4 linked regions of the Lytechinus pictus genome follow. The protein of the gene in region 2 purifies or fractionates together with the protein of the main gene of each other region. This does not show direct contact. Links are inferred from orthologs where the notes say so. Each region holds a gene or a part of one and is shown on either strand. Other genes may lie near its edges. The genes, in order: F-box/LRR-repeat protein 6-like, cullin-1-like, F-box/LRR-repeat protein 21-like and F-box only protein 38-like.

Region 1 (7,287 bases), on a different chromosome or scaffold from region 2:
TCCATCAAAATTAGATATTCACTATCAAAGATAGAGACAGCGAGAAAATTGAAAGATCTTTATGAAGAGCTGTCTAGTCTTGTCTTTCTGTTAATGCCCACAATCACCATATTGATTGTTATGGCATATGAACGTCAATATTGACTTGACTTGAATCTTGCCGGGGACCGGCAAATGCAATACACCAAGTGAACACCCTACTCTTTGATGAATAGTGTATTGGTTTTAACGTGCATAGGGAAGGTGCATACATGTAGCTGCAATATGGCAATAATAGTATAGATCTAGTGATAATAAAATATCAAAATGGATGTGAGATTATGACATAACAAATTAACATTAAAATTAATTAATGTTGATTTATACAATGTACAATGTCATTTCAGTCCTTTAGTTACGGATGGTTTACCAATTTGGCTTTAAAACCACTGTGTGGCACGTACTATACAAAGTCTAGCAATTAAAGGGACTTACTCAACATTTATTATATAAATCAGGGGCTGCGGAAGGGGGGGGGGGCTGGGTTTGCTTCAGCCCCCCCCCAACTTTTTTCCAAAACCGTGTACAAAAACGTAAAAATTACCATAGGATTGTGACTTTTTGCATGGTCAGTCCCCCACTTTGAAAACCGTTCCGCGGCCCCTGTAAACCATGTGCATTTCACTGTTGGATAAAAATGTGGAGTTTAATAGACTACATAATCACCTATCAGAGCTTCTGGGCATGTCCTCTACCATTGGGATGAGATCTTGTCCTGGCTCGTAGTCCGAGTCATCAGCGTCATCGTCCTCCTCATCAGGCCATTCATCGCCCTTACGAGGGGTGAAGGAAAAGAGCATGTTCCTACTTGGTAGACCCAAGATCCCTTTCGGCATCCGCTTCTTTGGCATCCTGGAAGAGAGTGTTTATTCTACAGGAAGGTGAAAAAAAAAATGAAAGAAAAGAACAGATTGAATGCATGAAACAATTTGTTTTTAGAAATTATCAAATTTAAATGTTAAAGAGAAATTCCAGTTTTGGTAACGATCTAAAAATGACTTTTTACAGAATCTAATATAATGACCACCCAAGTGTCTGTTTGTATGAATAAAAAATATGTGCCAAAGGATTCTGGAAGAAATTGTGTAATTGCTGAGAAATAAGCAAAATAAGCGCGGATTCGGTCACTTCCGTCGGGTCTTTATTTTAGCAATAATAATACACTGTCCCACGTGTGCCTGTCTGTGTTGGTGATCTTCAGTGTGAACATTTTTCAGCGTAGATTTCAAGATTTCACAAAGTTCAGTTTATGTAACTGTACCAGATCGAGATCCTCGATGATATACTGACAATTAAGCCTTGTTTTACAGACTTTCTCATGAAATCAGTGTTTACTGCAAATACTGGAATTTCTCTTTAACTGTTAAAATATAATTCTCCTCAAAGGCTAAAACTCAAGACAAAACATCACATCAGAGAGTTCAGACATCGACAAAACAGACAAGAATTTTTACAATCTGACAATCAGATGTGCAGACATAGGTCTAGATCTATCTAGATTCTACTACTAGGCCTACCCTAGCATGCCTAGATCCACAATATTATTAGATCTGGCCTATCTCGTACTAGACAGATGGCAACCGTCTGTTTCGAGGAGTTTTTTAACATTTTAATTTTTTTTTATTTCTCCACATACACAGACGGCTCGTGATCGTGCAGCCGCCATTAGGGGGTTGACAATGCAAATGTTTTGGTGCATTTCAGGCCAAAACAGAATACGGTAATAATCTTCATTTTGGTAGTTCTTTTTATATATTTTTTAATGAAATAGACAAAAATCAATGAGCCCCGTTGGGGGGACTTTGCATTGTCAACCCCCTAATAATGGTGGCTGCACGATAGCGAGCCGTCTGTGTACGAGGAGAAATATAATAAAATTGAAAAATGTTTTTAAAAACTCCTTGAAATAGACGGCTGCCGGCCCGGCTGTCTACCCTGTACAGATTGAGTTAGAACTTCGGTCTCTGTAAATTGGTGAGAGGAGCCAACGAGTTCAGCAGAACAAATATCAGAGACCAAAGTTTTTGGTCTAATGACTAATCTCGTACAGGCTTGTAATTTTTGTATGTCCCAAAGCACTTCCTGTTTGGACAAATCAAAATGGCAAAAGTAAACCAAAACCAGAGGTCACAAGTTCAAGCTCTTCACAGGACGATCCCGGTTGGAACTTAGGAGCAAATTTTTTAGTCAAAGAGTAATTTCTGACTGGAACAAACTGCCTACAGAAGTAGTGGAAGCAAAATCAGTGGAAATGTTTAAACATCGTTTGGATAAATTTTGGTGGGGGGAAAGATTTAAAACCTCCATTTCTCAACGCACGTAAAGTCTCACAAGTTTAAACTGTCTAGATAATCGTCAATTACTGGAAGTTAAGATCGGAAAACCTACAGGAGAAGTCCTTCATTTCCGTACCTGATGTGATGTGATGTGATGTGATGTACCTTTCTCCTGGCCCAGAGCAGAGGCAGTGCAGTCGGGAGTGCAGTGTTGTTCTCCTCTCGGCTCCCAACAGCCCAAGGGCAAGGCCAAATATCTCTGATTCAGTATTGTCTGATGACTTGCTAAGTTGCTAGTGCTACGACGTCTAACGACTTAACGTAATACTATTACTAGTCTGGATCTGGATCTGGATGTACTATCACTGCTGCTGGACCAATTAATATTTAGACTCAGAGATCTAATTTGAGCTTGGTCTTGATTGAATCCATCCATCAATCTTATTCTTAATCAGAGCTTGCTAGACAATGTCCATTTGCTGTGAGAATCTATGGAGAAAGCGAGTAAATTTACGTTAATAAATGCATAATTGCAGCTTGTGGTGCAATCTCTGTATCCGCCGGCCGCCGATCAGTAGTCCAGTACAGTGACAGTGTAGATATCTAACGTTAGCTTATAGACGGATGCATATGCATGCGCCACGCGGCGTCTACGCTATACCGGTACTAGCCGCGCCAAAAACCATACCACATTCTCATTCGCATGGTCAATTAAGAGTTTTATGGAAAGCAGCGCGTTTCACCTGTATTTATTTGAATTAATATTATTTCATTTTTACTTGGGTATAATGATTTGGAAGAATTATAATTAAAAATATTATTCAAAGTTAAAGGTGTACAATGATTTTGTTTCTTTGTAAGCCTTTTTCAGTATTATTATTAAATTTTACCTCATTATGTTATGATTCCAAAGTAGCGTTCCATAAAGCAAGATCTCCGAATTTAGGGAAATTCCCGAAATTTAATGGATAATAAATCAATTTCAATTGAGGAAAAGTCCAGCTAAATTTTGTAAAAAGAGCAGTTCATGCGCCAGCCTCCAACTCCAGCAGTAACAAATCATATCTAGCTAGTTTGTGGGATTTTGTCTGCAGAACACGTCAACAACAATCCTCAACTTGATCGCTGAGCTGAGCCAAATAAGTGCATTCAATTTCAATACCGGTAATAATAATACTACTAGTGACGTGTCCATAACTTTTGCACAGCCACGGCGCAGCCACAGCTCAGGCGCAGGCCAGCCTGCTGCAGAAGCCAGAAGCTCAATTACTTAGGAATCAGTGTCGGTGTTTATCTTTTATGTCATGTGTCGTCGACAAAGCTCTAGCTCTCCCATATCCTCATGGATGCCATCTCACTGTTGAGAACTTAATTAAAATTCTAAACTAAGTAAGATTAAGAACAAGTGAAAGTCAAAATGGGGGAGATTGATACACAATTACAAACGAGTGTAGTGGAGCTTGTGAAAAGTGATGTTCTTGCAGCAGATTTGAGATGGAGCTTATTTATTGGAGCATTGGACAGCTACCGGCATGACAGTGTTCTGAGGCCATATCCACCGGGCCCTCATCTACTTACACCAGACGGGGAAAAGGATTTCAATGCATTGGTAATATTAAACTTAAAAAAGCCTCAAAATATATACTTATCTGCATCTTTAGACTTTATCTTTGATTCAGCAAAATATTAGGATTGGCACATCATGTGTAATCTTTGAAGTTGGAGAGCACGCTACGCTTGGTCCTGTGGAGTGGCTCAAAGTATTGATTTAAATTTGATTCGCTTTTTAAAGAGTCCAAGGATAATGAATTTACTGTTCTACAATTATGAGGATAATTTTAAAAATGAATATGGATTATACAATGCTCCCCACTAACTTTTTTTTCTTGGTGGCCTGATCAGTCCACAAAAACCATAAAAAAAGCAAATATGGTGGCCCTTGAACAATAGAAAACATTACAATTTATCAAAACTTTCGTAGCCCAACCATGCTACCAAGTGTGGGCTTTTACAGATTTTTTTGTTGTTGCTCCAGACCACCGGGGCCACTGCTAATGTTGAGTCCTGGATAATGCCCTGATTTGTAATTTACTCTTTGCTTGATTGAGTTGTGTACCATGATTGATGCAGAATCTTGTTATTGATGTTCAATCAAATATCATTCCAAAAATTGAGTAATTATATATATATATATATATATATATCACAGTAATAGTACAAAATATCAATGAAATAAACATTCAATTTACTCAAATAAGAGTATATATATATGTAAATCAACTTACTTCTCTATACTTCAAAATCAAACTTTCTTCTGCAGGTACAAGTATCCTTATCCAACAACAAACAGAAGGAATGCCCTTGCTACTGCCAGTGTCATGAGTCACTGGACTCTCTCCCAAGCTAACAATAAAAGTGGAATGGTGCACATCAAATTACAAAAGAATCCCTAAAGGGGGTACATGAATTGGCATTAGTGCTACCCCTAAAAAGGCGGGAAAGAATTAGCTAATTAGCAGAGAGGGAAAGAGCAAAGGCAAAGTTGGTAGATATAATGTGAAACATAGATTCATTATATACATTATATTAAAATGCTACATGTACTGAAATGAAATGTAGTATCCTTTTAACTAGATATTTTTTAAAGAAAAATTATTCAAGAAAAAAAAAAACAATTTACAACATCAGCTGCCGTCCATTTCACCATAAAATAATCTGCAGAATAGTAACTACCAAGAGAAGTTGGCTTAGCAGACAATATCCCAGAAAGTTTTAAAATTTAATAGGCCTATACATTATAATTGATCACTTTGATGTCAACCAAATGAAATTCCCTAATTGGTATAAATTCAAGTTCATTGTTGAGTTTTAAATAGGATCTGGATAACTAAAATTGTTTAAACTATTTTCGTTACTTCTGTTCTGGTATTCTTTCTTAGAAATCTGTTGCTGGGCGGATCCCTAACATGAAGATGATATTAGAGGGAAGAGGATTGAGTGGTATGCAGCAAGAGGAATGGGACCTTCTAAAGTGGGTCCTGGAACCAAATATCTTCTCTGTGAAATCAGTAGATGTAGAGAAAAAGGTGAGGATATCTACTATGTGTACCATTCAAGTTCAAGATCAAGTTTTTATTTTCATTCCTATCAATAACATTACAAATACAAATCAGACATACATCATAATATATATAAACAAATACAAATGAAATATGGTTATAAATGATTACAAATCAACTACAATTTCCAAAATAGCTTTAACAAAATCTTGTATGGAAATGAGGGGATCCACTAAAAAGCATTGCTTGTAGAGCGTGGCTCCCCTAAAATAACATATCAAACAATAGAAAATTGGGGACTCATTCACATGCGTAGGCGTAAGAAAATATCATTATTTTCATAATAAATATTTGAATTAAAAATTATTTGATTTATGCACCAATTAACAAACAGATTAGCTTTGAAAGTATATTCTGTCATTGGCCAGCAACGTTGTTAATCTTTGAATATACAGTATGTTCATTTCATTCACTGTCCAATAGTGCAATTATCTAATTTCATTTTTTTTAGGGGGGGAGGGCAGTTGTATCTTTTGAGCAGTATTTTTTGACGGATTGAATGATTGACTGTGAAGTTGATGAAGTATCAAATAAATGAACAAATTCAGAAATGTAATGGAATATGGTGGTGCCAACATTGAGGCCTGTATTTTCACTTTCTATCTCTTTCTATCATGTAATATCAAGTTGACAGTAAACCTATTCAATCAACTAATTCAAATGATATCTGTTGATATCAAATGATATCTAAACCTATTGTGATTAGGTCATTTATTTCAAACATGAATAGTTTGATAAATACAACTGAAATGCGAGGGTTGGTTTAGTATTGGTTTAATAACTATCATTTAAAATTTTCATTACTTTTTATCATCATCACTACTATTATTAAAACTATAAGTATCATTAGTGTTGTTTTTGTTATTGTTATTATGATTATTATCATTGTTATCATTATTATCATTATTTTTATTATTATTATTATTAATATTCTCATCATCATTATTACTGGTAGTGGTAGTAGTAGAAGTAGTAGTAGTAGTAGTAGTAATAGTAGTAGAAGTAGTAGTAGTAGTACTGGTAGTAATATAGTAATAGTAGTAGTAGGAGTTAGTAGTAATAGTAGTAGTAGTAGTAGTAGTAGTAGTAGTAGTAGTTAGTAGTAGTAGTAGTAGTAGTAATAATAATAGTAGTAGTAGTAGTAGTAGTAGTAGTAGTAGTAGTAATAGTAGTAGTAGTTAGTGATAGTAGTAGTAGTATTACTACTACTACTAGTAGCAATTTAGTAGTGGTAGTGGTGGTGGTGGTAGTAGTAGTAGTAGTAGTAGTAGTAGTAGTAGTAGTAGTAGTAGTAGTAGTACTACTACTACTACTACTACTACTACTACTACTACTACTACTACTACTACTACTACTACTACTACTTCTACTACTACTACTACTACTACTACTACTACAACTACTACAACTAGTACCACTAATACTACTACTACTACTATTAGTACTAGTAGCAATTTAGTAGTGGTAGTGGTAGTAGTAGTAGTAGTAGTACTAGTAGCAATTTAGTAGTGGTTGTAGTAGTAGTAGTAGTAGTAATAGTAGTAGTAATAGAAATAGTAGTACTAGTAGTAGAAATAGTAGTAGTAGTACTACTACTACTAGAAGCATTGCTTCTAGTAGTAGTACTACTACTACTACTATTAGTACTAGAAGCAATTTAGTAGTGGTAGTGGTAGTAGTAGTAGTAGTAGTAGTACTAGTAGCAATTTAGTAGTGGTTGTAGTAGTAGTAGTAGTAATAGTAGTAGTAATAGAAATAGTAGTACTAGTAGTAGAAATAGTAGTAGTAGTACTACTACTACTAGAAGCAATTTAGTAGTGGTAGTGGTAGTAGTAGTAGTAGTAGTAGTAGTA
Region 2 (7,718 bases):
CTAGTACAGAAGGTCCTTTTGTTCAACGGAAAGTTGTATTTGTGCTAGTCTTGTGTGAGGACCAACTTATTACGTAAAATTTGTAAATGGAAGGCAGGTTCTTATATGTTAAACCCTTGACATTAAAAAAACAGTGTAATGCAAGGTTTTATATTTTTCAATGTTCAATTAAAGAAGCTTCATTTTGTAAATTATAAATGCCTATCATGCTACACTTACAATGGATACATATATACATGCACATTACACATCTACATGTATACTGTATAATGTATTTACATGTACGTACAGTTTGATGTTTTATACCCTTGGCCATTTAAAGAATGATGGAAAGTATTAGATTTGAGGATATCAATTTATGGTTTTGTATTTTAAAACACAATTGATCACTTTTTGTAAAAAAATGAAAATTCCCCAAAATTCCCAAAACAGGCCCCGTGAATGCGTGATGATAGGTAAGGTCTAACGTTAGTTCTAAGTTAGATCTAACATTAGGGGGCCCTACATGTACATCATGTACGGTAGTGTGACCTTAATTTGCGCGTTACCCAATTTTGCGAACGGTCGAATATCTCAATATCTAATTGATATCTTAAAAAACTTATATCACCAATAGAAAGAGCGACTTAAAATTACTCAGTATGGTAATTTTGTTCAAGGTAAGGTCTCGATAAGTCTATTTGTGAAAATATTGGCAAAACATCAGCAAATTTTGTTACCTTTTGCGTCCAATCTTCTGGACAAGCATCAAGAAATCGCCAGTTTGCAAGCAGTATCTCCAAATAAGTACGGTTAGTAAAATGTGGTACCAACCGAATTTATGGCATTTTAACTTCCATCTGATATAATTATCTTACCTTTGTCTGAGCACTTGATTTCAACTCTAAGACTAAACTCTAAAGCCTTGCAAAACGATCGTGCGCAAATGAAGATCACACTTTTTCAGCCGAGCACGCACTAGTTGATCGCCATGGAATTTTAAGATCGCGATACAAGCGAAACCCTAGACCAAAAGCTTCGGTCTCTGTTATTGTTAAATTGGTTGTTCCGCTGAACTCCGTTGGCTCCACTTACCAAATACAGAGACCTAAGTTCTAACTCGATCTGTACAGGGACTCAATGGCCATATGTTAATGTATTAAGTTCGGATAAACCAAGGATGTGGGAGTTGCACGACAGCTGAAGTATATCACTGTTTTTGTCCTGAAAGTTTTAAGTTTATTTTTCAACATTTTGGTGCATTTCAGGCCAAAACAGAATAATAATCTTTGTTTGGTACAGTTCTGTTTATACATTTTTATGAAATAAAGACAAAAATCGATAAGCCCCGTCGGGGGGATTTTGCATTGTTAATCCCCTAATGGCGGCTGCACGATCGCGAGGCTTTTGTGAGGAGAAATAAAAATGTTTAAAAACTCCTAGAAACAGACGGCTGCCAGCTGTCTAGCGAAACCCTAGACAGCTGGCAGCCGTCTGTTTCGAGGAGTTTTTTTACTTTTTTTTTTTTAAATTTCTCCTCGTACACAGACGGCTCGCTAGCGTGCAGCCACCATTAGGGGACTTGCAATGCAAAATCCCCCCGTCGGGGCTCTTCAATTTTTGTCTTTAATGAATAAAAATTTTGAAAATTAACGCGACCAAAATGCAAATTAATATTCCCTCTTGGCATTAATTGCCCAAAAATGGAGAAAAATCAAGTTAAAAGGAACAAAAACAGTGACTTACCTCGGCTGTCGCGCAAATTCACTTCCCCGTTTTATCCGATCTTAAGTACATAAACATATGGCCATTGAGTCCCCTGTACAGATCGCGCTAGAACTTCGGTCTCTGTATTTGGTGAGTGAAGCCAACGGAGTTCAGCTGAACAACCAACATAACAGAGACCGAAGCTTTTGGTCTAGCGAAACCCTTGACCTACTTTATAATTCTGTCAAGCGAATTTGACTTTGGGGTCTTGCCTTCTGTTTGGTATTTATGATTTTGATTAATTTTGTGTGAACTGTGTCTGTGAGAAATTTTTGATTGAAAATCAACTTCATGATAATTTTTAAAATGTGCGCAAATTATGGTCACCCCATCATATGAATTGATGTAGATCTAACATCGAGGGATCTACATGTAGATCTAACTTTGTTAGATCTAAAAAGTTAATATTAATCTATTGTACTTATCCGATTTTGCACGACATTGTCACCGACAACACAAACACAACAGGCAACACCACTCAGATTTCAACAGACAACACCGTCCGTAGTCTGACTGTACTTCATTCTACTTGTCTTTGTCTATTTACATCACACACTCTCAGCTCAAACATTGTCAAAATAAATAAGACTTAATTATTTGTAAACAAATTTTCGGCATTACTTCTATGAGACTATGTGTTTAACTAAGATCGCATGCTCGATCTGTAATGAAAATCATAAGTCAGAAAAAAAAGACTTAGGCCTAAGTTAAAGTTAAACTGATGATATTTAAACAATTAAGACTTAACTTAATTAAAATTTAATGTCACTGACATTGACTGACCTCAGCCATTGTCAGCAGGAACGCAATTGGCAATAAACAACATGAAAAATCGACATGATCACATGTAAATGTTATCTAGATCTACACGACAGAACAATCGAATATAAATTGCTGCACTCTCTCTGTAGACGTAGTGTAGGGAGTGTAGCTGACGTCTGACTGAGCAGTCTTGTCGACTCTGTGACTGCGACTCAAGATCTGTCGCATTTGTTCATCCAGCTCAATTCAATGGAGTTCTCCAAACAACTTAATAAACCACAAATTCAATATATTTGTAATTAGAATATTTAGCATGAAAGAGGTCTATGTTAAATTACCTTAACTTTCGTCGATTGAATTATGGAACTGTGAAGAAAATGTTGTTTTTTAATGGTATAAATGTTGATAAATCACCGGTACCATTTCGGACGTCTGTTAATGTTTTTCATGCGCACCGATCGTGCACACACCGCGCGCACTGCCTGCACCGTGAATATAGCTCGCGAGTGAGCGCGCACAACAAATGATACTAGTACTAGTTTATAAATATCTATATTTCTAAAGTTATGACTGCGAGGCTTTGTGAACACTGCATAAAAAGAATTTCGGCTCAGAATTTCTATTGCATTTCATTATTCAATTTTCCTAGAATTTGAATATAGTGTTTATAGATGACAAAACATAAAAACAAGTTTAGACGTACATAAAGATAGTTTTAAATTTAATATGTTTTTGTTCCCTCCGACGAACAGCCAAGGTCCCATGGTGTAATGGTTAGCACTCTGGACTTTGAATCCAGCGATCCGAGTTCAAGTCTCGGTGGGACCTCTTTGTTTTATTTTTTTTTTTCATTCCTCTTACAAGCGTTTGTATATATTATTTGCTATAAAAAGCATCTATATATTATATTTGCGAAAAAAGTGAGGGGTCGTAATTACTTCCAGCGCACACAGGAACATCTATAAAGCCTACATAATATAGCGAAAGCAAGTCCAGGGTATAAGATTTCTCATTGACTGGTCATAACCTGTACAGTATTAAACAAAATAATGCGAGCGCAAACCGCCGGGGTTCATTTATTTATTTATTTATTTATTTTTTTTTTTTTTGGGGGGGGGTAAATGACTTGAAAATATTACAAAGGCACTTTTATTGTACGCTTGATTATACAAAATTGAAAGCGCGAGCTGAGATTAACTATCGATAAAATGACCGGGTGGGTACGTGTTTCATAAATCAATTATTCGCATTATGTACTACACTTCTTTAAATTCGGTCCGACCATTGTTAAATGGTTTGATGTGTTTTATGAAAATGCTCAATCTTGTGTTTTAATCAATGGACACCTGTCTCCCAGATTTTCAATAGAGCGAGGCTGTCGCCAAGGAGATCCATTGTCTCCATATATTTTTCTATTATGTGCTGAAATACTTGTTTCGACAATCAACGTCAATAGATGGTTTGAGGATGCCCTCTGGTAAATGTCATAAAATATTACAGTATGCAGATGACACTCTTCTGACATTAAACGGTTCAGAAAGAGAATTGAGTAGTGCTTTTGACATCTTGTAAAAATATAAAACAATATCAGGTTTGACTGTTAATATAACCAAGACACATGCATGCAATATGGATTGGAGGATACAAGAACAAGAAAGACTGTATTCTTGCCAATGGGAATTTGAATTGGGTATTTGATGAATACTTCAGATATTTAGGTATAGATTTTTGTACAGATCTTCAGAAAATGACAGTGCATAATTACAATGAAAAGTTTAAAGAGATCAAAAGTCAAATGACTTCATGGTTAAGACGTTACCTGACGGTCCTTGGAAGAGTTACGGTTGTCAAGTCATTGTTTGTGTCTAAATTGAACTATACTTAATTCTTTCTCTCCCGAATCCAAGAGAGTTATTTCTAAAAGATTCCCAATTTCATAGATTCATATGGGGAGAGAAACCAGATAAAGTAAGTAGAAATCAAATGTCTCAGAGTTATTCTGAAGGTGGAGTAAAAATGATAGACATAAATCTGCAATGCCAGTCATTGAAAATTTCTTGGATGAAAAAAATGATAAACGGTTCCATTGACGGTAATATTATTTGTCTTCTTCAGTCTTTTTTTGCATAAAACGCAAAACTTGGATCTTTATATGGGAAATAGCTATTTTTCTAGAAAGTGGCACACGAAATTAAAATCCTTTTTGGAAAGAAATGTTCTTAGCGTATAGCACACTGTTATCTATGCACTAAATTTAATATACCTTGCCAACCCTTATGGAACAATGATTTTATCAAAATAGGTAATAGCTCAATTCACAGTAGATCTCTAAATAATAGGGGTGTTCGTTTCGTTAATGATATTTTAGATGGCAATTTCCTCTCTTTGAATGACCTTCAGGAAAAATACAATGTTCAAATAAATTTTCTTTTTTACCGTGGATTATGTGATGCCATAAGAGACGGTTTTAGCAGTGGCACACACTTTAGCAAGTTCCAAGAACCTATTATCCCTGATACAATAGCACTTGTTATGAAATATAATAAAGGTTGTTCACACATCTATACGATTCTTAAAAAGAAAAGAAAAGTGGAATGTAAAAGTTTTCTTAAGTGGAAGTGTATATTCGATATGAATGACAAGCAATGGCAGTCGTATTGCTCTATTTGATTCAGTTGTACTAATACCGATGTGAATTTACGTTGGTTTCAGTTCAAAATAATGCAACGTATTTATATACAAATGAAATATTGTTTAAAATTAATTTAGCTCAACAAAAAGAATGTACTTTTTGTAATGTACACCGTAAAACAGTTACTCGTCTACTTTGTGAATGTACATGTATTAAACATATATGGGACAGGTTTGAACAATGGATATTTCTTAAAACTGGAAATAGAATATTTTTCTCTAATAAAGAAAAATTATTTGGTTTAAGAGGTTCAAGTAATTATGCATTAAATTGTTTATTGATAGTGATACGACAGATGATTTACAATTCCAGAGTAAAACATAAATTACCTGTTTTTGATAATATCAAATTTGCACTTCAGAATTATTTCAAGAATGAAAAATATATCGCAGAGTCAAATTGTAAAATGGTAAAGTTTACAAAGAAATGGTTTCAATTACGTGCCATGTTTACATGAAGTGATCTGTTCAGTTCCCTTTCCATGTATATACATATGAATATTATTGTTCATTTACTCCTTGCTTTTTCCTTAAATTGTTTACTATTATGTGAACCTGACAGTTCAATTTATGTATTTGTTGCAATTACTGTTGTACTGTATTTCGTTGTTATTAATTTGATTTGTCATTGAAAAGATATCTTGTTATGTTTTGAATAATAATAAAATCCCTGTGGAGGGGAATAAATTGAAAAAAAAAAAAAAAATCAAGTGGCGTAACTCAGTACGCCCCCCCCCCCCCAACGGCTGGCCAAAAAAAAAAAAAAAAAAAAAAAGAAACAAGGTAGAAAAGGAGAAAGAGGGAGAAAGGAAGAGAAACGTAATGGGGAAGAATAAATTAGTTGTATATTGTATTATGTGTGAAGAAATACCCCCAAAATTTTTCAAAATTCTCTTTTAATATTTTCTATTTAGATCTGTGCTTACTTTCAGCCAGAATTAATTACTAGTATCCAAAATCTATCAAAAATTCCACTTTAATACAACGCCACCACTCACAGCTGTTGTTTGTTTTGAATCTTGAATGAACGTAGTAAAATCAGCTGAGTGTGTTTACTACAGCAGTCAATGAGCATAGTAACGGAGGCAGATTGTGCTATTTTTAGAACCACAGCAATACATAGGATTTAGTACGTGGGACAAGGTTAGGTTAATGGCGTGCACGGTGATGCACGGAGCGAGTTTTCTCGATAAATTGTCACTTACCTTGTAAATGTCTTTTAGGTGAGGAGCTTGATGCTCTATTTTTCCCTTTTATGATAAAATGATGTCTTTAATGATCCTATTTTAGTCACTAGAAGTGATTATTCCCTACCGGAAATGGTACATTCTGTATTTCGTCTTTCGCGGGTGATGACGTCACAAACTTTTGGCCAATCACGTAAGCGGGCAAATCAAGTTTTTGTCAGGCGATAGGGGCCCGATGGCTAGGGGTATAAAAGGGGCAGAGGGTGAAAATTTCTTCACTTTGCATCTTTGAGAGTATTTGTCTAGAGAGAACTCCAAGCCAGTCTTCCAGTTGAAAGTACTTGTAAGCGTTTGACCTTAGCAAGAATCGTGAGTGGAATATTTCTTTAAACTTCTTAAGGTTATATAATATCCCCCCCCCCCTTTTCTATAAAAAGGAATTTCTAATTAAATTTGTGAGAACTGGAATTTCGAAGTTCTTTATAGAAATTTTAGGCTTGATGCCCGATCGATGAGATGAATATTTTTATGTCTGCCCTTAACATTGGTCTTACTCTTAGAGATATTACTTGATTGCTGATTTTATTTTGTATGTGGTACACAACAGAATTTAAGGAGAGTTTTGTTTTGTTTTTCCCTCTTTCTCAATTGATAAACGCAGAAGTATGAAACATCGTAACGTTAAGGAAATTGGGGTAACTTAGGGACAAAAGTGCAAGGGTACCTCGTAGTTATGTAGTCTTTAGTTTGAGTTTGTTTTGTACCTCGTAGTTGCCTATAAATCTAGGCTTAAGTCTTTTACGTCTTGACAGATGAATATTTAGATGTTATTTCATGATGTGTCTATGGAAATGTTGTAGACTGTTTTTAAGTCAGAGAATGTGGATGTAGGCCTAGATTTTATTGTATTGTGCATGGAAGAATATGAATTCCCCCCCCCCCCCCTTCCTTCGACGAAGTTGGCTGGCGTTGTACAGAGAGGTCGAGGGCAGCTCGAACTCAGTACGGTAGATTGACGGCGGCAGAAATGAGAGGTTCGACAAGTGACAATCCTGAGTAAGGAACGTCATCGTGCACCGGTACTCTCAGTACTCTGTACTTCTCATCATCGTGCATCGCGTACTCTCAGTACTCTGTACTTCTCATCGTGCACCGGTACTCTCAGTACTCTGTACTTCTCATCGTGCACCGGTACTCTCAGTACTCTGTACCGTACTTGTCATCGTGCATCGCGTACTCTCGGTACTCTGTACTTCTCATCGTGCACCGGTACTCTAGTCTCAGTACTCTGTACTTCTCATCGTGCATCGCGTACTCTCAGTACTCTGTACT
Region 3 (6,992 bases), on a different chromosome or scaffold from region 2:
AAAAAGAATTCTCCATTCAAATCTTTGTTAATAATGAAATGTTTTAATCTATAAAGATTGGATATCAACTTGAGCTGATGGAAATAAAAAATGATAATCTGATTCAACATCCACCATCCATAAGATACCACTTGCGTGTAACATCAAAATAAGAACAGCTTCATGACACACTATGGCATACCAAAAGTACAGGTACTTGCCTAAAAACTAGGATAAAACCACAGAAAGTAGATTCTGACTCAAATGCATAGTTTTTAATCATTAATTTCCCTTTCCCCACTATCCAAATGTGATTTGTATTCTGAAAAAGACAAGATAATTAGCACTTCTTAAGAAGTATACTCGATCAGACATTAGCAGCCTAATATTGCATTAAAAAGAGGATTTGGTGATAGCAAATTAGTGCTGATTAAATTAATTCAATGTATGCATCCCTAAACACAATATGGGCATGAAAGTGAGATTTAAAAACCACTGAATCATTAATAGGAGAGTCTCGCAGAGGGAGAGAGAGGAAGTGGTTGAGGAAGGAAGATATGGCATGATGTTGGTGGGGGGGGGGGGTATGGGGACATGGGTAGTGTTCCCTACAGTTGGTATAGACACAAAAACCATATTCCCGGACATTGAACAAACAATGTCAAGGGTTTTTTTAAGTTGCAACATCAATTTTACACTCCATTTTTGGAAGCCATCTTGGATATTTTAACATACCGAACCACTGACCGTCCTTGTCCCAATGTAATATTTGACCATTGAAACCATAGTCAATAGTCATATCTCCCACGTGGATATGAAATGAGCTATGACCATTTCAAGTATCAACATTCATGTTAAACTCATTTTTTGAAGCCATCTTGGATTTTTGGACACACCTGACCACTAACTGTCCTTGTAACTTATCCCAATGTACTTCTTCACCCTCAAACCATTTTATAGAAACCAAATTAAAACCACTTAAATAAGTAATATATGAATTGTGGATTGTTAGCCTACTGCAGCCCTTTTGGGCGCCATCTTGGATTTTCCAGGTATACTTTAGCCTGTATCAACAAATTATTCTCCCCCTAGACCATGGAATATGAACCGATATTGGATTCTAGGGTGGATAATGAGTGAGTTGTATCCATTTTCAGTGAATGGCAGCCATCTTGAAAATAACTTCTTTCCCGCAACCGGATTTTTGTAGATTTTTAGTATGTTATTCCTGAGGTCAAATAGCATCAAAAATTGATGAAAAATCATTTGTTGCAATTTGTTCCGGGTAAGGGTATTTTTGATTGTATATTGTTTTGGGGTTTTTTCACCTTTTTTACAGTGTCTTTACCAATCGATGATGACAAAAATTAATCCAAACTTCTCTGACAGATAATCTCTTTTGTTTTCTTTTCAAATTGCACTTTTAATGTGACTGATAAGTAGTGAAAGTTTATTACCCTCTCAAAATATATATTTTTACTTTATGCAAAGCATTGTGAAACTGGATTGGACTTCTCTTTGTTAGTTGATTGTTGTGGGGTTTTTCTTATAATCTGAACGGTTCTTACAAAAAGTCTGATTTTGATTTAAACAAAAAGGTCGACATAATATATGGCAAACATACATGTATTGAGTTACCAATTTGTGTATTTTTGGCAGACATTTCCTGATTCTATCATCAGCACTAATTTTGTAATGCCCTGATATGCTGATTGCCGACCAGGGCTCCGTAACACAAAGTTTTGAGATGAATTGCAAATATGAAAGAACTGCATTTTTCGGTTCCCAGTCAGTACTTTAAACAGAGTGCGCATGCAACAATGATCGTGATTGGTCATTGGTATTTAGCGATTGATTGCAAACCTTTGTGTTACGGAACCCACGTGATTTTTAACAGAGAAACCAAATTATGTTTTAAAACTACAAAATTCATGTATGCACCATGATTCATGATTAAAAATGCACATATTTTCACCTTCTCTGTATACAAAAATATACATCATTGGCCATAGATTTATGAATTAGCTAGAAATTAAACAGAATGACAATTTGTTTTGATTAAAATATCAATAAAAATGTATGTATGATGATAATGATGAGAAATTCAGGGGCTTATTTCATATAACTAACTATTGTGGTTATTCAAAGTACATACCATAGTAAAAGGAACCAGCATTTCCATGGTAGTTACCAAAATACCAAAGATAATATCACCCGGGGGGGGGGGGGCATTCACATATATTGGTGGTACGGGGACGTGCTGCTTTGGTGACCCCCTTTTTCAGTTCTTTAGATACTCCGAATGACAAAAGTTCTATTCAGAAGCTGCCCCGCCCCGCTCGCAAGACCCCCGTTACGAAACATCTCGGTTCCCTAGCCCTGTCAAAATTGTCCAGCGCGAGCACGGCATGTGAGAGCTGCACGCACGGCTTCACAACTCCCTCCGCTAGCAGCTCCATGCAACGCTAGCGCCCCATTAGTCTGCTGTGCAAACCCTTCACTCGAGTAAAGGGTCTGAATTGCAGCCTACTCATGCCTGCAGACTACACCCACATGTACTGTACCGCAATCCCGTTCCATAGACCGTTTTTCACACTGCCGCCCGGTATATATTCAGTTCCCATACCCTGTATTTTACCCTTGTGGTCAGTTCCTTAGACCCCCATTTCAGGGTTCCGTGAGGCACACCCCCATCAAAATATAATTTGAGTCCTCCCCTCCCCCGGGAATATCACTGCATTGGATTGGATAATATCACCACAAGCATTTATAAAATAGACCTATTAAAAATAAGTAAAACTTCTTACAGTGGTTGGCTGAAGATGAAGCCAAATTCTTGTAGATGAGCCCTCTGATACATTGCTTCTTATCAGTAGTGGTTACCCTGGAGAAAGGTGTATAGATGACCTTCTTACTACTGATTGGTGGAGGAGGAGGACCAACGATACAACTCATCGGGTCCTTGGCGGTAGTTACAGCTTTCATGAAAGGACTGCTGTAAGCCATGCCTCGATACTACACTACTACAGTGCTGAAATGAAGCAAAGAAGAAGGAAAAAATAATAATTACAGCGAGTGATGCAACAAGTCTCTTCTCTTGAAGGGAAGCACAATTAATGAATGTTAAAGGGGAAGTTCACCCTGACAAAAAGTTTGTTGTAAAAATAGCAGAAAAAAATAATAAAAATACTAATGAAGGTTTGAGGAAATTATGTCAAACATTATGAAAGTTATTAAAATTTTAATTTTTTCATCTGTGACACCACGTAATATGAGCAGCTGCCCCATACATGTACATGTATGTAATGTAATAAACAAAATACACAAATTTCATTTTTTCAATGGTTCATGATGACTTTTTTTCTTTTTGGAGCGGGTGTGAAATGATTTGTCAATTATATACTGAAGGTACGATAAAAAAACATTTTCAAGAAAATAAAATTTCATTGATTTTTTGCCATACGATATAGGAAAGCTGCTCGCAAATTATTCTTTGATGGATTCTTCTCAAACCTTCACCAATATCCTTTATTTCAGCTATATTCACAATAACATTTTGCCAGGGTTTACTCCTCCTTTAATACAGGGAGTAGCCAAGATAAATCCAACTGCTTTTTGCTACTCCCTCACATTTACATCATCACTAATGTTTTTTTGTTTTTGCTATTTTTGTTATTTTTTTGCATTTGTATAATTCTTGATTTTATTATATTACCTATCTTTCAGACAACAACTGTTTTCAAGTAAAATGGATTAGTGACAATTATGTGATTTACAAAAACTGAAGAATCATGTATGCTTTAATGTGGTAAAGCTTGCACTAAATGTCTGTACTCTGTGGTAAATAAAAGGCAAGGCAACTCCTTATGCTGCAGTCATATTTCCCCTACAGCGACCGTACAAAACAGCCGTTTTATCAATTTTTATTCAAACCCAAAAATTAGTAAATGTTTAAACAGAGCTGTTTTTTACTTGCCGTAGGAGTGTGACTGAGGTATAAAATTTTACTCCTAAACCAGAAAATGGTTGATCTAGAGATTGAGATTGATTGACACTAATGGGGAAAGAGGATACATCTAAAAAAAAGGAAAGACAAAATTCCATCAAATAATTTCAGAAGATGGGATATTCGTATATTCGATGAAAATCCTTTCAGGTACTCAATTTCTGCTGCTGGTCAACGTTACTATCATATGACATGGCAATACTCACAATCACACATTCATTCTGATAATTACTATAGGGGGATGGTATGCCCCACAGGTATCATGAAAGGGAAAGTCCATCCCAACAAATAGTTGACTTGAATAAAAAGAGAAAAATCAAGCAAGCATAAGACTGAACAAAATTAAAATCAGATAGGAAAGTTATGTGATATTTTTAAGTTTCGCTTCTTTTTCACTAAACAATTGTATGCATGCACAACTACATGTAAGTAATATGCAAATTATGAGAGTCAGTGACATCACTCACTATATCTTCTTCTTTTTTTTTTGAAATATGAAATATTTATCTTCCTCCTGATTGTCATGTGACACAATGTTTTATTCCTTCCTGAACATGTGTAATATCCATCATTTTAACATTTTGAGGGTTTTATAATAAAGAGTGTCCTTATTGTCAAATCTTCAAACATTGAAATATTTAATAATTCAAATAATAAAAGCAATAAAAAGATATAGAGAGTGACATTATTGGCTCTCTCTCATTTATCAATGGGTTGTGCATATAACTGTTTTGAAAAAAACAAACGAAACTTGAAAATAACATAAACCTATTTTTTCTGCATCCGATTTTGAAGAAAATTCAAGAATTATGTTTGTTTGATTCTAATTGATTCTTTTTCTGGGTTAGACTGGCTGGACCTTTAAAAGAATTAGATTAGACTTTTTATTTCAAAGTTAAAATTAGGCAAGACCAAGTTCTTTGTGACAGGGAACTTTTGGGTATCCTTTCTTCGAAGAACTATTTTTACTCATTCATGCATGAAACTCATGAAAGAGTAATTATATGAGTTATAGACATACTTGTAAGAGGAGATTCTAAGCTTTACAATGATACATGTAGGTCATTTGTCGATTATATTTATGGTTAAGTTAAGATAAATGAACAATAATTCTCGGTTTTCTTTTTGTCAGACGCACAGTTTTTTTTTTTTTTTTTACCAAAATAGCATTAATTTCAATTTAGAGCTTTTTGTAAGTAAGGTTGGCAACAGATAGGGTTTAAATTCCTCTTTGGCAGAGCTACCCTCTCAGTATACAGGTAAACTACTATTGACATGTGTCATGTTTGTAACTGCACGTTTTTGCGGGGAAAAAATGAAATGAATTAAAATGAGCTGAACACTTGTGACAAAAACATGTAATAACTCCAGCTTCTGATCACATCTAATAGAAGGGAATCAAGTTTCAATAATGAATGCTCAAGATCTTATCATGAACCGCTTCTATTTACAACGCCTACTTGTGATATATTCCTCTATAGAGCTCACTAGCTCCCTAGATTTCTCAGATACATGTATGTACATATAGGTAAATGTAGAGCCAACTGATTACCATAATTTCTGGGCCAGAGGCATTTGCATCCCTACAGTGTACAAATGATTGCTGAACGAGATATATGTATGTAGGCCTCTGTATGTGGAAATTTTATTGTGCAAGTGTCTGAAACATATTTCTTTTTCCTTATTTTTTCACTTTACCAGTAAATACAATTGTGTATGGAAATAGTAAAATAAATCAAGCCTGGGTCAGGATGATTAAGATGCAGATCTTTCCAGTATTCTGACGAAACAATATATAAAACATGATAAAATGACAGATCTTCCAACATCAATGCCGATCAATCGAGACATGTTTTAAAATTATTTTTCGATGCTAATGATTCTAAATAAATTTTTGATACCCTAAGGAATTATCCCTTACAGGCTTACACCCCAAGAAGAAATGATGCATCTTCCACACAGGCCTACAGTGTAGGGGAGGCGGGGTACAAGTTGAGCATAGGGGCAAGTTGAGCCACCACCCCCAGGCCAATAATGAATGAGTCAGACATTGTGGTGGTGTCATGTATTGATGACCCATTACATAACCCTTAACCCCACTACATTGTTTTCAACTTTGAAACAAAAAGTAATTTTTTAGAGGGGAAAATACAAATTTCAGCAAAAAAGTAAAAAAGGGTGTGAAATTGATAAGTGCTTTTTACCCCCACACGTCTTTGAATATAATAAAGAAATAAGAACAATATTGTTAGTCCAGGTATGGATTCTCATTCTTGTCATAGTCTTTTAGATGTTGGATGCGTAAGAAATGTTTGGATGTGAAAATATCGCATTAAGTTCGGACTGGGGTAATTTGAGCCAGCCAACATGGGGCAAGTTGAGCCATAGTAATTCTTTAAATGTATAATACTAACAAGTGGAATGCCTCTGGCGGTCTCACCTGCATCACGCGATTCAATATAGCAGCAGTGCTGACTTTGAAAACTACTATAACTCGCACAAGATGGTCAGTGATACTTGGTTACTCTCATTTCCACGTTTTATGAACTAGACCAATACACTTACAGAGATATGATGGTAATTCAACAAATACCCCCAACGTGGCCAAAGTTCATTCACCCTAAATGACCTTTGACCTTGATCATGTGACCTGAAACTTGCACAGGATGTTCAGTAATACTTGATTACTATCATGTCCAAGTTTCATGAATCAGATCCATAAACTTTCAAAGTTATGATGGTAATTCAACAGATACCCCCAATTCGGCCAAAGTTCATTGACCCTAAATGACCTTTGACCTTGGTCATGTGACGTGAAACTCATGCAGGATGTTCAGTGATACTTGATTAATCTTATGTCCAAGTTTCATGAACTAGGTCCATATATTTTTTAAGTTATGATGACATTTCAAAAACTTAACCTTAGGTTAAGATTTTGATATTGATTCCCCCAACATGGTCTAAGTTCATTGACCCTAAATGACCTTTGACCTTGGTCATGTGACGT
Region 4 (7,581 bases), on a different chromosome or scaffold from region 2:
TCGTTTATGAACACTCTTGGACTTTGCCTTCGGCATCTTTGCTTGTGGTTTCCACTAGGTCCAGTTTTCACAACCAATTCCTGTTTTGAAAACAGAAATAACAGAAAATTAAGTCCAAGACATTGAAATCAAATTGCTGAAGTCTAAGAGAAATAGGGCATCTCAATGGGCTCGAAACTAATTCTAAACAAAGTAAAAAGTTAGATCTAGAGTCTACAGAATAGTGACCTAGCTACATGTAGCTAGTGTAGATCTAGTTTGTTTGAGATAGATCTATCTCAAAATTAAGTGGCACCCTTATTTATTAATTTATGTTAATTGTTGGGTAACAGACAGGCTCCGTAAATACAAGAGAAAAAAGATGAACATGCAAAGGGTCAACTTGGTCAATTTAAAGTAAGATTCTGACTTAGTTAGTTAAACTTTTTCTTGGAAGTAAAAGAGAAAAAAGATGTACGTATGCAAAGGGTCAACTTGTCAGGTTAAAGTAAGATTCTGACTTAGTTTCTGATTCTGAACTATTTCCCAACACCCCCTAAACGAGTTTTTCTCTGTGTGCAAAATACCCCCCTAAACAAGTTTTTCACAGGTTTCATTTACATTTTGGCCCCTAAACAAGTTGTCGCGTGGACATGCAGAGAGGTGACAAATTTCACAACCGTTTTCCCGTTTCCCAGGGTCATTGCTTTACAATCAGGAAAATCCTGAACACTTTCCAGAAAGGAGGAAAAAGGCCCTAGGAAAAACCTTTGGGAAAAAACATACACGAAGGCCTAAACACGTTTGGCTAGTCTTTAAAAAAAAGTTTTAAAAAGAAAAAAGCTTTGAAAAAATATAGCCTAGACCTAGAGCTAAATATGATTGACCCCGCGATTGACCATTGACCAGTTGTTGTTTTAGCTTATACGGCACGTAGTAGTGAATATTTGCGCCAGCATAATTTGCGATAATTTTTATATAACTTTTTCTGTACTTAAATCAATTCAGTAAAAAGAAGGTATAGCGCTGCATTATTTGTGCAATTTTGGGAGAATCACAACAGACTGTCATCACAAATCACTTAACCACTTTAGATGTATTTTCTGGCCAAGCCCGGATCAGTACAGCACTACATTGATCAAGTTTCTCGGCTTCTGCATGCTGCGCATGCGTAGTCTTAGGGCCCCCCAATACCAGTCAAGGCAGTGTGGTGTCTGTTGACGAAATGATCTCCTTCATCCAAGTTTCGAAATACAAAATGAGTATGGTGAGACTACCACATATCGACCTCCTCTTTTGAAACCGACCACCTTGCGCGCGTTAAAATTATTGCGTAATATATATTACAAACGATACGCGCGGGAGAGTAGGCGCAGTGTCCATAGAAACGGTAAGAATCAATTTTACGAGAAAAAAAGAAGCAACAAAAAGTAAAAAATTAGTAGAATTAATCAAAATTGTATTGACCAGACCCAAACCCCGCTGAAAAACCAAGAAATCCGATAGGAAACGGCTTTAGAACAAATATCCGTCGTCAATCGTCGAATCATGTGCCGGAGCTCGCAGTGGAAGTAGTGAGACGATAATTTAGCATGTTGACATCATAGAACTGATTTTGAAGAGTAAAAATATTTCGCCACCGTGACAAGAATCGGCCGTAAACTTAGCGTAACGCGGGTGGTCGGTTTCAAAAGACGGGTGCAAATGAGCAAATGTAAAATCGTCGTATCCGTTGTTTGTCGATATATACGCGGATTGAATCGAAGTCGCCGAGCGAAACATGGGAATCTGATCTGCTAAATTTTCTGCACAAATGAGACGAAAACTGGGTAAAATTGATGAATATTTTCGCAGATACGATGCTTAGAAGATTAGGTGGTCGATAAGGGGTAGTTCCAACCATACAAAATGGTTAGGTTCAAGACAATGCAAACGTTCCGAGTCTTGTGCAGTTATCGTGCATTTGGTTAACTTTCACACTTCATAGTTTATTCAATAAATTAAATGATTACAAATTAAACTCAGATAATACAAAAGGCCTATGTAATGCAGATATTAATAATATTAATAATATCGACACGTATATAATTATTGTTCAGATTTTAACAATTTTTTCTGCAAATTCTGAGGATGTCTAACAGTGAGTTTAACAATTTCTAACCATGCTAACATTTCTGCAAAACTTAGGAACAAAAGAAACACCAACAAAAGCATAATTTTTTTATAGTTACCCAAAAGTTTGTCTCACTGAGAAGCCCATTTGTTTTGTGTGAGGATGACAAAAAAATGGGTAATTTTTATGAGGAATCTGCTTATCATATTTTTATTTGCCACCAAGTTAATTGTTTTGCAGCAAATTAAATGTAAACCATGTAAACAAAGGAAATGGGTCTCCCAAACTGGAGACTGTCTCTGAAATTGGATACCCGAATTCTTTACAAAAGTCTCTGATATTGGACCTCTCTCATGGGAGTCAGTCTCTGAGTCCCATATTGGCCGTGTGCCTGGCTCTACTGACATACCGTCCCGGCATACCGTACCGTATTTGGTGAGTGGAGACAACGTAGTTAGCGGAACGACCGGTGTACAAAGACGCTTTTAGCCCCTATTGTGAGATTGATATCCTCCAATTTTCAAATCTGTGGAAGGGTTGAGCAAGCTGCATGCAATCATGCACTTCCCAAATAACAAATGAAAATCACCAATGAAGTCAGGCATCAGATACTGAGATAGATGATCAGGCTCAGGGCGAGTCTCTTTTTTGAAATTTGAGTTTGAGTCTTTCTGCATGCAGCCACAGAAATAATTGAATATTCCTTTGGCTTTGCTTGGAACATGTTGTTGCACCCCTAACTTAGCTAGAAATAGCTGTACCGGCATATGGCCATGATATTCTGACAGGAAACTACACGGGAAATAAACACAGCATGCACAAGACAGCAGTCAGCGGTGCATGCAGTGTCAGTGTGTAGCAGCTCACAATATGGCGCATGCATATACCGTACTCGACTCGCGCGATCGCCCTCGATCGAGCGAGCTCGCGCTAGTTAGCGCGCCTATCGCCAGGCGTATATCGGGTACCGGTACGGTCGGCCGCGCCGCGCCGGAGCTCGAGCGGGAGCCGGAGCGGTACATCAGCTGCAGCCGAGATCGAGACGGGGCAAGCGGAGCTGAGGAGCGAAAAACAGCAAAAAAATCGAGGACTTCAAACTGGTTGATTGATTGATGATAACCTCTTTTGGTCCCATTAAATAAAGGGAGGACGCGTTTGCTACCAGGAAGGGCTCATTATGTGCGACTCAAAGACAAGGAATACCCAGGTAAAATTTGGCTAACACACACAGGCTAAGTTTCTATTTAGCCATGATTTACTAACCCAGAGAGCTCCGAATCGCGGGCGGGAGCTCCCTGGGTTAGCCATGATTTACGGGCATAAGTGCACGCAATTACAATGCAGATAATTGCAATGGGGATATCACAGTTTTGTGTTGGATTCGCTTGAACTGCGTTTGTAGAGTATAATAGATCTAGTCTAGGTGGGGCTTGCGAAATGATGCCAAGAGCGTCCAACGCATAATGTTGTAACTTTTCTAACGCATAACGTCACACGCAGGACCAGGGTGACCAGATTTTACAAATTGAAATACGGATTACGGGCAATCAACAAAGCACACTACAGCTACACGAGCGGATCAACCGAGCCAGGTCTAAAAAAAAATCAACAAAGAATGCTACACCATGTTAGACTTGTAAAAAAATATAAAGAAAAGGAAGGGAGAGTGAACGAAAGAATGAAGGATCAAGAGAAAGAATTGAGGAAAGAAAGACAATGAAGGGGGAAATGAAGTAAAGAAAATTAAAGGAGAATAAAACCCTTGAAACCAGCTGAATCCATATCAAAGAGAAAAATCAAAGAAACATATTGTTGAAAGTTTGAGGAAGATTGAATGAATAATAAGAAAGTTATGAGCATTTGAATGTCGAGATCACTAATGCCATGTAGATCCTCCTATTGGCAATGCGACCAAGATCTGTGATGTCACACACGTATAACTCCCTCATTACTTTAGTACTTATTTCACTTATATTCTCACTTTTATTGAGTCTATCACAAGGTGAGGTGTTCTCTTTATGAGAGGAAAAGTACAGAGGTTTCACAACATTATATCATTGATGAATCATTTGTCATATGATTAGAATGAGCAAAAAGAGATGTTTTGGGGTATAATTTCAGTGTCCAAAAGGGGAGAGTTGTTCATCTGTGACATCATAGATCTTGGTCGCATTGCCAATGGGAGGATCTCCATAGCATTAGTGATCTCGATATTCAAATGCTCATAACTCTTCTATTGCTAGTCCTATTTTACTCAAACTTTTGTTGATCTTATTCTTTGATTTTTCTGCTTTCACAAAAGCTAACTTGCTCCAAGAGTTTCATTCTCCTTTAAGGAAAATATAAAAGAAAGTTAGAGTAAAAGAAGGATATAAGAAAGAATACAAGAAAGAAAAAGGGTTTCCATCATTCTTTGAAATTAATAAAGAAAGAAAGGAAGGGAAGATGTGTGAAAGAAAAAATAAAGGAGAGAAAGCAAAAAAGAAAGAAAGGCAGAAGAAAGAAAGAGTGAATGAAGGAAAGAAAATGTTTCCTTCATTCTTTGAAAGAAACAAAGAAATAAAAACATGAAGGGAGGAAAGAAGGAAGGGAAAGAAAAAATAAGGGAAAAAAATTAGAAGGAAGGAAAGGATTAAAGAGAGGGAGGAAGGAATGAAAATAGGAGAGAATGAAAAAAGAAAATAATGGAGAGAAAGAACAAAAAGGAGAGGAAGGGAGAAGGAAGCAAAGAAAAGTTTAAGTAAAGAGAGAATGAAGGAAGGAAATTTTAAAAGGAAGGAAAGAAAGAAAAATGAACAGAAGGATCAGGAAAGAAAGCTATATAGGAACGATTGGAAATAAAGATAGATGGAACAAAAAAGGGCAAGCACGAAGGAAAGGATGAAGAAAGAAGGATAGAAATGGAAGAAAAAGGAAAGAAAAGGAAAAAAAGTTCAAACTTCAATTAAAGATTGGAAACAACTAAAATGTTTTAGAAATGAGTAAAATTTCAAAGTGAAACATTGTCAAACTTCAAAATTAGATGAAACATCGCCGCATCACACACAGGCATCTCTCATCCCATTACAAGTTCTTGCTGGTCACAACAAGACTCAAAACGAAAGCTGAAACAACTATAGATCTAGTTATGAAAACTCAAAAACTTGCTTCTTCGATTACACCACCAAATCAGTAATCTGAGAATCCATAATATAATTATGAAAATTTCCCACCGATTTTGTGATTATTTTGGTGGAAAACTGTTTATCATGTGAGATTGTCTGCACCATTGAGAGTCTGCTCCGAGTACGTTCTGACTTCGCGCGTGGGTGTGTTTGTGTGTAGATCAAAAAAAAATATAACTAGAGATCTATTCGTTTGCAATGTATTGGGTAGCAAGAAAATCACCGCAGAACTTTGCAAAAGTTTACAGTACTCGATTTTATTGTTGTCTCTGCTTAGTCATCTGTTAGATATTTGATGAAAATTCTTCACTTTTATATTATATGTATTAATTATATTTTGTTCAATATTCTGAAATACAGGACAAATAGGTGTCCCGGGAAGGGTATGTCGGGACAAAGGAGCAAAATATGGGACGATCCCGGGAAATACGGGACGTCTGGTCACACGTCGCAACGCCTAATCACACAGACTCGCAATGCAGTGTCCAGTGACACTCAGTCACAGCGGTATTTGCTTCAGGACTCGAGTTACAGAAAAGACATGATTTTATTCAGTATTTTGTTTCATCGGAACATCTGTGTCTCGCCTGAATGAAGTTCGGCAGAGACCTAGTAGGAAATGTAGGATGGAGGGTCGGGTGTCCGGACACTTAATATTTTTGAAGTAGACCTTCTTTTTGTCTTTGGATTACACTAAAAATATGAATTCAATAGTTGTAATCATCTTCTATTTTGTTCTCTATAATATTTCCTAACATTTTGTACTAAAAATTGATGACACTTTCTAAAATTGATCGTCCGGACACACAACAACTGATAGTATGCACTTTTCCTGTTAGTCCAGTAGTCTGTTAAAAAAAAGTTTTTGTTCAAGCTGCTCTCATTTCTTTATTTGTGCATGAATTATGTTCATACTTGTACATGTGATCCTTGGGTAATATCAAATGTGACCCCATGAGAATGATGAGGTCAGAGGTCATCTAGGGGTCGATAGGTCATATGAGGTCATGTTCATCCCTTTCCGAAGTTTTTGTTCAACTTGCTCTCTTTTCTTTATTTGTGCATCAATTTTGATCACACTATTAGTCCAAAGGATCATTGGGTAATAAATACCACATAAGTACGACAATACACCAGACGGTGGACTGTACTGTTTCCAGAAGAAGAAGAAGAAGAAGTGTTGGTTGAAAATGGGTCAAAGGTCATCTAAGAGTAAAAGGTCAAGTTTTGGTTCAATTTGCTCTCGTATATTTTTTTTCTGCATCAGTTATGTTCACAATTGGTACATATGACCTTTGGGTAATACCACATGTGTGTCCATGCGGATGATGGCGTCAAAGGTCATGTAAGGGTCATAAGGTAAATTTTCGTTCAAATTGCTCTCATTTCATTTATATTTCTGCATAAACATGATAACACGTGGTACAATAGGTAATGCTGGGGGGGTACTCGACCAAAAAAGTGGTAGGTAAACATGTATGTCGCGGGCGAGACAAAAAACGGGGGCTTATTGTAAAAAGGAGGGTCCCTGAAACGGGCTTCGGAACCACAAATGTTTGTGAAAACGGGGGTCCTTGGATTGGAACGGGTTGCCTGCGTGTGAGTGCGTATGCATCGATCCCTATGGAACGGGCATACGTGCATGTAGCTAGCCCGGCGGCATGGGCGCTGGGTGCGCTTGGCAGAGGCGATGGTCGGACAGCGCTCTGCGGTCGCTTTTTTACCAAAATTGCAGCTCATTGTAGCAGATCAATGAAGCCGGAACGGCGTAACAAAAAATATGCGAAGCTTTGGAACAGATTTCTTTTCTTTTTTTCTCGATAAGAAGAAAATGCTATGCTTTGGAGCGGCTGTCTTTGTTCTGTTTCTCAATAAGATAACAATGCTATGCCTTGGAACGGAAATTTGAGTGTAAAAGTGGGGGTCCCCTCCGCGGCACATACCCACTATGCATTATATACTGAGTGCCCCCCCCCCCCCTGGGTAATGCCACATGTGTGTTCATGAGAATGATGGGGTCAAAGGTCATCTAGGGGCCAAATGTCATATTGCACATTCTATTGATCGTGAAATCAGGCCAGACTCGTGGTTAGTGAACCACCTTGTTCAAGACGTGTGTGAGGGTGTTTGGGTCAATGTTGTTTTGGGACAGTATATAAAGATATCTATATATTCTTTCACAACAAGTTTGACAACCCCTTTAAAAAATGATTTTATTCAGTTGAGAAAAAGTGAGTACCCTAGTGTCATAACTCCTGTGGGATGGCCGATTCTACCTGTTTTATTCGATGTTCCATGCTTTTGTTTGGTGAAATAACGCATATT

Evidence for each region.
Region 1: the proteins of cullin-1-like (region 2) and F-box/LRR-repeat protein 6-like purify together in Homo sapiens (affinity purification with mass spectrometry; 4 studies listed by BioGRID, with this or other methods). This does not show direct contact. The link is inferred for Lytechinus pictus from reciprocal best matches to the Homo sapiens genes CUL1 and FBXL6.
Region 3: the proteins of cullin-1-like (region 2) and F-box/LRR-repeat protein 21-like purify together in Homo sapiens (affinity purification with western blotting; 6 studies listed by BioGRID, with this or other methods). This does not show direct contact. The link is inferred for Lytechinus pictus from reciprocal best matches to the Homo sapiens genes CUL1 and FBXL3.
Region 4: the proteins of cullin-1-like (region 2) and F-box only protein 38-like purify together in Homo sapiens (affinity purification with mass spectrometry; 4 studies listed by BioGRID, with this or other methods). This does not show direct contact. The link is inferred for Lytechinus pictus from reciprocal best matches to the Homo sapiens genes CUL1 and FBXO38.

What each region holds. Positions count from the first base shown.
Region 1 is NC_087249.1:6,509,336-6,516,622, reverse strand, and holds the start of F-box/LRR-repeat protein 6-like, read right to left. Parts: upstream 3,011-7,287; 5' UTR 2,452-3,010; intron 911-2,451; 5' UTR 891-910; coding exon 706-890; intron 1-705. Other genes in the region: protein mono-ADP-ribosyltransferase PARP16-like, read left to right, coding at 3,733-3,924, 5,255-5,401.
Region 2 is NC_087247.1:61,241,946-61,249,663, reverse strand, and holds the start of cullin-1-like, read right to left. Parts: upstream 3,017-7,718; 5' UTR 2,847-3,016; intron 2,746-2,846; exon of another isoform or gene 2,530-2,745; intron 1-2,529. UniProt on the Homo sapiens protein: Core component of multiple cullin-RING-based SCF (SKP1-CUL1-F-box protein) E3 ubiquitin-protein ligase complexes, which mediate the ubiquitination of proteins involved in cell cycle progression, signal transduction and transcription.
Region 3 is NW_026974140.1:17,213,438-17,220,429, forward strand, and holds the start of F-box/LRR-repeat protein 21-like, read right to left. Parts: upstream 3,017-6,992; 5' UTR 2,986-3,016; coding exon 2,787-2,985; intron 1-2,786. UniProt on the Homo sapiens protein: Substrate-recognition component of the SCF(FBXL3) E3 ubiquitin ligase complex involved in circadian rhythm function. Plays a key role in the maintenance of both the speed and the robustness of the circadian clock oscillation.
Region 4 is NC_087259.1:21,838,611-21,846,191, reverse strand, and holds the start of F-box only protein 38-like, read right to left. Parts: upstream 3,004-7,581; 5' UTR 2,520-3,003; intron 111-2,519; exon of another isoform or gene 81-110; 5' UTR 37-80; coding exon 1-36. Other genes in the region: putative methyltransferase C9orf114 homolog, read left to right, coding at 3,270-3,299. UniProt on the Homo sapiens protein: Substrate recognition component of a SCF (SKP1-CUL1-F-box protein) E3 ubiquitin-protein ligase complex which mediates the ubiquitination and subsequent proteasomal degradation of PDCD1/PD-1, thereby regulating T-cells-mediated immunity.